Daphnia pulex: one gene and its partner. The protein of the gene in region 1 interacts with the protein of each later gene in a pairwise test. Links are inferred from orthologs where the notes say so. Each region holds a gene or a part of one and is shown on either strand. Other genes may lie near its edges. The genes, in order: peroxisome biogenesis factor 10-like and peroxisomal biogenesis factor 19-like.

Region 1 (4,023 bases):
CTCTTTGAACCCTCCTTTTTAGAGAATAGATATCAGGGTGGAGTTTCGGTTTTTTTTCTCTATTTAACTTGGGGACAGAAGTACCCCCAGGACAGGCCGCCATCATCATCTTCTTTCCATCCATCACAAAAATAAAACCCCCTTCTTTCTCGAGTCTGATAATCTTTTTTTCTTCTTTTTCCTAGAATGTGATTTTTTTCCTATTTCTTCTCCCCTAAAGAGAACCTTAAAAAAGAACCTGAGGCTCTATGGAAAAAGTGGTCAGTCTGGTATAAGAAGAAAAAAAAGACGCAAGTTTTTCAGCCTTGAAGCCCGCGAGTGATGGATACCACCACGACGGTGGTGGTGGTGATGATAATAATTATTATACAGGCGCTATAATATCAGGGAAATGAATCAAAAAGAAATGTTTTGTTCTCTTACCCAGGATCGTTGGGTACTTCGGTGGTGTTGTCGCCATGCTGCGACTGCGAGTGAGCATCCATGTTGTCCATCTTCTTTCACAAACTTTGGAAACCTTAAAAATCAAGAGAATAAGAAAATTAAAAATTTTGTCAATCGCTTAGTTAATGAAACAAAAACTCACTTGTCAAAAATAAAACTTTTTTCTATTTGATTCCAGCCGAAATAGCCTCGCCACGTTGGTTGATTAATTGATTAGATTCCTATCCACGGCACCTGTGCCCGGGTTCCCAAAAAGTTACACAAGGGCTCGGATGACTGCAACAAACAGAAAATAAAAAAAGTTAAGTTTTTTAAGGGGGGAAAAAAAGATAAAAAGTCGATCGATCGACATTCCACAATGATACATTTATAATCAGATTACACAAAAATAGTGGGTCTAGAACCCTACATATTTTTTAGGCGAGTCTAAAATATTTTTTCCAAAAAAGAGAATCAATACCTCGGGAGTTTTTTGGAAGGTTGAAAATGTTCCAGTCGGAATTATTAAAATTTTCTCTCTTCTGACTTGTCTGTCTGTGTGTGTGTGTCTTGGATTACAGCCGAGAGAGAGAGATAGGGGAGACGCCGGGAGGAAGAAAAATCAAGAGAAGGAAATTGAATGAAGAAGTGGAGAGACGAGTTCACTTCTTCTACAGTTTCGATTAGGACAAGAAGAGCAGCCAAAGCAAAACGGAAGTCGAAGGGGATTGTTTTGTTATTTGGTGTGTGTGTGTGTGTGTAAAAAGAAGAAGAACGACGACGACGGCGAGTTTTTGGAGAAGAAGAAGAGAGAAATATATGTGTGGGGGGATTGACTTGTATACACACTCGCACACACTCACTCAAACACACACACTTTTTCGCTTGGGGTGAATGATTTTTTTGAAAAAATCTCAAAAGTAGAGGGGATGGATAATATATATTAATGAATTAAAACTGCTGATCAAAACTCTCTGCTTGTTTAAAGATTAATTTTTTTAATGATTACAGCTCGACTGACTGATTCCTACACTGAACAACTAAAAAAACTACCGGAGATGAACTCCTCCGGCCTGTTTCTGCAACGCGCGAGGGCACTTTACACACTGAGGGCAGCCATTGCTAACGCCTCTGTAGTAGTAGTTGAGCTCCTCTAGTCTATTTCCTCCTAGTTGTCCACAGGGGCTTCTTCCTTCCCCCCCAACACCACCCTCTCTGTGTATTTTACAAGCAGTCGACAGCTACTCGCACGCCATCTAACGCTCAACATTGCCACTTCTCGACGGCTACACGTCAAAATAGTTTTACGCCATAGTGGCCGTCAACGCAATTAAATAAAGAAGCTAATCAAAAGAAAGTCGTGTAAAATAATATACTGATAACCGTAATAATCTTGCTCGAGGCCAAAAACCAAGTCGAAAGAAAGTTGCTATTTAAAAAATAAGAGTACACAGAAGCAATAAAAACGTTTGTGTGTGTCTATGGGAAAGACCTACATTTTCACTTCTTGTAACACATCGACGTACGACGTCGGGCCGGGTCTGCGCCGTTGTGGTTTACCATAGAAAATAACAAATGGCCTTGACCCGATTGTGTCATCATCTACACACGGGAGCTTCAAAGGTCACTCTCTCGAGTCTCGCTTTCGTTGGAATGATCACCATATTTATTCATTCCCCGGACGTCTAAACCAGTGGATGGTCGCCACCATTTGTCCGTCCTTTACAACAGGCTCTCCGTGAGAGTATAGACAAGTTTTTTCGATTGTTTTCTTTTTTTCTTAAAAAATATGGCCGTGTTCGTGGAAGCCAATCCACCCGAGATCCTTCGAGCCTCCCAAAAGGATGAGTCTTATATCAACACCATCAAGAACGAACTGGCTGACATTGTACAACGTCTTTTCGGTAAACAACTGTTTTTAAGTGGAAATTTTTTCTAGCAGTGACCTTCTCATTGTTTACCATCTTGCTGTACACACAGGAAATCAGACATGGCTGAAGGTCCAGTGGCTATCGGACCTCACCTGTGTCTTCCTATATTACACCTTGACCACCTTGTTGGACAATCAAACCCTCGGAGAGGAATATGTAGGGCTCATACAAGTCAATCCAACATTAAGGGCTCTTCCCTCTAAATTGGTAAATAACAATATAACAAGCACTAGTACCTGACATTAACAAAGTTTCTATTTAGACAAGGCTTACTGCCATCACTCTGCAAGTATTAGGACCACGGCTGTTCAGTCAAGTCATGAAAAAGCTGGACACCTGGCTACGAAATCCAGAAAATATCCCTGATTTAACACCCAAAGCCAGAGATTACATTTTATTGCTGACAGAGCTGATTCACAGCAGCAGTTTTTGGGTGGGGCGACTCAACTTGGTTTTATTCTACATGTACGGGAAATACTACAGGCTATCTCAGAGAATGGCCAAGATCCATTACGTAAGACTGCATTAGATTACAAATACCCAAGCAAATTAATCCAATATTCTATTTCTAGGTATTCGCTACAGACTACTTGAAAACAGAAAATTACAACCCAACATTCAAGTTCATTGGGCAAATGGCCCTTACACACCTTGTTCTACTTTTACTTACAAATTCCATTACCAAATGGAAAAATGGCAGTTCCAAAAACAATTCCAGTGCAATTTCGGTAAGTATTTCTCAACAAAATTCCTTTCCATTTTGAAACCCTCATTAAAGCTAAGCAAATGCTAAACACAGGTGGTGGACAGTTCTAGTGAAAAATGTGCTGGCACATCACCCTCGACAACAGCGAAATGTTCCCTTTGTTGGGATTCAAGAAAAAACACAGCCTGCACCCCATGTGGCCACCTGTTCTGCTGGCAATGTATTTTGCAATGGTTGCAAACCAAGCATGAGTGTCCTCTTTGCAGAGAAAGTGTGCAACCTTCAAGAATTGTGCCATTATTGAATTATGAATAATCTATGTCAGAGTCCAAACAGCTATTTTGTGAAAATGTTTTGCACAATGTGTTGAAATAAAACTCGCTATGTTTTTGACGAGCCAGCCTTCTTCATTCAAAAATCCACATTCGTTCGATTTAAAAGGGAATCGCGTCTTAGATCTTAACCAGAGGAGACATTTTACGAGACACAAAGAAGAGATTAGTCAAAAAGTCTAACCTGAATTTATCAGAAGATTGTAATATCGTCATCTAGACAAACAGGCTGTCTCGTTCGTCGGAAGCATTTTCTTGAATTGTCACGTGCTTTTTCCCTAAAGAGGACACAGTCAGACCCAGGGTATCGAGTACGCACTAGTCCACAACTATTTTGTATTAAAATATGGCTTCAACTGACAGCACTCGACACCTAGCGGCCAACTAAAACATTACTTCATGGGAAATTTTTAAAACAAGATGGGCAGCAAATCAACGAAATAAATCTACTTTCGCCGGAACGGAGATCGTGTCGAAAAGAAAACATCATAATGACTCGTGTCTCCTTTTACCATTCCAGTACGCGGTAGCATTTTGACCTGGAAAAAGAAAGAAAAAACGGATGAGAACGTTTCAAACGACTGAACATTAGGGCGTCTCCTGTTTAATATCGTTCCGAAACGACGGGAGG
Region 2 (3,581 bases), on another chromosome or scaffold:
TCAATGTTATGCCCTTTAGGAATGGAGCTTTAAGAGGGTGATCCGAAACTCGAAAGCAATCAAAGCAATTTGTTCCCCATATCGAAAATTTTTATTTTTAATTCCACGTTAAACTTGAAGTGCTCTTCCAGTGCTTTTCTCCTTTTTGTGTATCGTTTCTCCTTACATGCAAATACTGAGCACCCATACAGTTTTCCCCGGTCTTATTAGTACTTAGGAGGTGCTACGAATCATTTGGCTATGATCATTTGTTCTCGTTTAACAGTGGTTAAACTGTGTCTTTTTTAAAGAGTAAAAATGTCCCCCAAACGAACTTCAGCCGAATTCATTACCAATAGAAATTGCAGCCTAAATGTTCGTCCTGTAACTTTATCACATAAAGGTTATTAATCCGTTACAGCTATAAGCTGTTATCTAAAATGATTTAAAACTCTGTTAGAATATGGATCGCGTGTTTAAAACCAAAATTTTTTTATTAACTAGTATCAGGGGTGAAATTGGGTTGGTGCAGGTCATGTTGAATGTTTACATTTTTAATGAATGAAATACAGATGCATTACTTGCATTTTTTTAAGTTCACTCATTTTGATTCATACTTGAATTTCCATTTTATCAGCATTCAACACATTATGTGTCAATTATTTTTTTAAGCAATTGAAGTTTGCCTTAAAAAAAAAAATGACTCCACCATCTCGAAATCATACCAGGTAGGCTAGATGGTGAATTTTCTTGATTTGGTGAACATTCGCGATGTGTCATTCCAGAATCGGTAGTACAGCAATTCGTGAAGAAGAGAAGAGGAAGAATAAAACGAAGCAAGATATTGGAGGATCAGTGAAAACTACTACTCATGTATTGATTTTGGTATCAGCAATGGACAAGCACTATTGCGGCAAGGCAGACCACCGTGTACGTTATAGAATATCACAATTTTTACTGTCATTTTGTCGGAAGACATATTACCTTTACCAACTGAACGTACTTTTTCAAAATTCCTTCTTTCATAGCTTTTAATTTGGGTCTGGCAGGTAAGTGAAATTGATTTGAACTTTGAAGCAAAGGCGGGATGGTAACGACTGCTCGACTGGTAACAACGGGATATAACGACATGTTCGATGTTCTGTTTTCATTTGTTAAAGCAAGACTAAGCTTAAAGCAACCGCCCTAATGGAAATCTTTGATTTTGACTATGTTACGAAATATTACTGTTAGGTTTAGAAAATATTTATGAATGAGCAGTCGCTTCTGTTATTCAGAACAAAAAATACATTTTACTCTCCCAATAAAGACGCAAAATTCAAAACCTAAAAAAAAAGTGATTTGTTTTAATTCATTTTTCACGCCAAATATAATTTTAATAAACAAGCATTCATGAATCATGATGAAGCGCATCTGCTTCATTCACGCACGCACGAACCATCACTAAATACCGAATGATTTCGGCAACATCGCGTTTTATTTATGAGGTAGTATTTCGTCGTCTTGTCTGGTCTTGCACTCTTTTCCTTGTCGAAATTTCCGGATGAGCAAGTTTTGAAGCCTGTGTCGATATTATTGATATCGAAATCTATTTCTACTTATACAATTCTGTACTTTGCTGTAAATAGATACATTTCAGTATGAGTGGAACCGGTTCTAATGATCCAAAGTCTGTACAAGATACGGCAGATATTAAAGAAGAATCTAAAGGAGATGACGAAGAACTAGACGCTTTACTTGACGGTATGTAGTTTAAACTAACTAGTTATTTGCCAACAAAGGAATAAAACATTCATTAAATGTAACAGATGCCCTGGAAGGATTTGACAAGCCACTGCAAGTGCCCAAAACAAAAGACAATGTTAAAGCCGAAGCAGCAGCACCTACAGATCAAGTATCAGATGTTGTGTGGTCTGAGGAGTTTATTCAAGAAGCGAGTTTGGAATTTGAGAAAAATATTCGTTTGATGATGGCAGAAACAGCACCAGGGGCCAGTGGTGATTCTGGATTTGCTGAAAGTTTGTTAAAGGTATCACAAGAAGCTGCAGCTAAAGTATTTGAAAGACAACCAGACCAGGGAGCATCCTTTGCTGATACTCTACGCTATTTAGCAGAAGGAACAGAATCACTTCAGGTAAATTTTTGTGGGTAGGATAAACCAAACTTTTTTATTTTTACTTTAACATGTCCTTATTTTTTCCATAGACTGAAGCTGATGAAGCTACATTAGCCAAAATGCTTGAAAAAATGGCATTTGGACCAGATGGGGGATTTGGAGATGGTGCTGGTGGAGATATGGGAGGTTTGGGTGACATTTTACCTGCAATGCAAGGAATGCTTCAAAGTTTGTTATCAAAGGAGTTGCTTTATCCATCTATCAAAGAGATTGTTAGCAAGGTAAGCATTCACTTGAGAACTGATGATAGTCAATCTTGTCTCTCATAACTTATTGTTATCTCCTTAGTACCCAGATTGGCTCGCAGACAATCGGCCGAAATTAGAACCTGCGCAATTTGAAAAATACAACCGCCAATACGCCGTTATGCAGCAAGTGTGTACCGAATTCGAAAATGATAACGACACTGATGATGCAGCGACGAAAAATAGTCGCTTTGAAAAGATATTAACTTTGATGCAACAAATGCAAGAATGTGGCCATCCCCCTAAAGTGAGTGCGACTACGAATAATTTGATTGATTTTCATTTAATGAAAAATCTTAATTTCAAGGAACTGGCTGGTGAAGCTGAACTGCTACCGAATCCCTTCGGTGGCGCGGATTTTGCTCAATCGATGGGACCTGGTGCCGAAAATTGTGTTGTTATGTAATTAATATAGTATGTTATAAAACATGTTTTTGTTATTGAAATTGGGCTATAAAAGGTATTAGAAGGTCGTTAAAAAAAATTGTTTGAACGGCATTACAACTTAATTTTATCATTAATGGCGTCAATTCTCAATGATTTAAACAAATACGTTTTGTATTTACACGTATGACGAACTTGCCCGTCTCATTTTGGATCGTTGCTCACACTCTGTTACAAGCTTATTAAGTTCATCAGCCGAATAGCCCAACAGTTGTTTGAGGTCACAAACAAATTTATACACAAATCGTTTACCGCTTACTTTGCAAATCATATCGCCATCATAATAATACCTCAGGGCTCGACTGAGTTTCTCATAGTTCATGTGTGGTTTGTTTTTCCTTTCTCCCCATAGTTGAGCCACCATTTCGGGGTTATTTAATTTGAATTCTCCTCCTGTCCCAAGCCAAGAAATAGCATCCCGGAAATTCACATCGGTCAACAGCTCAAGGAGAAACTGCCAGAGTTGTACCTGGCCATTGCTGCCTGTGAAACGGACAAGTTAATTCAAGTTAAAATCACCTTGATCATTAAAGCATACATATACTATATTTTTTAAATACCTGTTCGGTTTCCTGAGTTAGCAATCGAGAACGAACGCGAGGAAAATGTTTCAAGGGGAATCCTTTTTGCTGGAGTAACAACTTTAACAGGCGGTCTTGGCATTCTGGAAGTATCAGATTTAACTGTCAATGGAGTTGTGATATACTGAAGATAAGGCACTGGTTTTTGAATCACCC

The links.
Region 2: the proteins of peroxisome biogenesis factor 10-like (region 1) and peroxisomal biogenesis factor 19-like interact in a two-hybrid assay, tested with the Homo sapiens proteins (4 studies listed by BioGRID and IntAct, with this or other methods). The link is inferred for Daphnia pulex from reciprocal best matches to the Homo sapiens genes PEX10 and PEX19.

What each region holds. Positions count from the first base shown.
Region 1 is NC_060026.1:15,821,908-15,825,930, forward strand, and holds peroxisome biogenesis factor 10-like, read left to right. Parts: upstream 1-1,723; 5' UTR 1,724-2,212; coding exon 2,213-2,327; intron 2,328-2,403; coding exon 2,404-2,561; intron 2,562-2,616; coding exon 2,617-2,868; intron 2,869-2,926; coding exon 2,927-3,082; intron 3,083-3,153; coding exon 3,154-3,375; 3' UTR 3,376-3,456; downstream 3,457-4,023.
Region 2 is NC_060022.1:6,085,081-6,088,661, forward strand, and holds peroxisomal biogenesis factor 19-like, read left to right. Parts: upstream 1-1,462; 5' UTR 1,463-1,619; coding exon 1,620-1,722; intron 1,723-1,787; coding exon 1,788-2,113; intron 2,114-2,184; coding exon 2,185-2,376; intron 2,377-2,443; coding exon 2,444-2,647; intron 2,648-2,707; coding exon 2,708-2,806; 3' UTR 2,807-2,921; downstream 2,922-3,581. Other genes in the region: DNA-binding protein Ets97D-like, read right to left, coding at 2,963-3,327, 3,405-3,581. UniProt on the Homo sapiens protein: Necessary for early peroxisomal biogenesis. Acts both as a cytosolic chaperone and as an import receptor for peroxisomal membrane proteins (PMPs).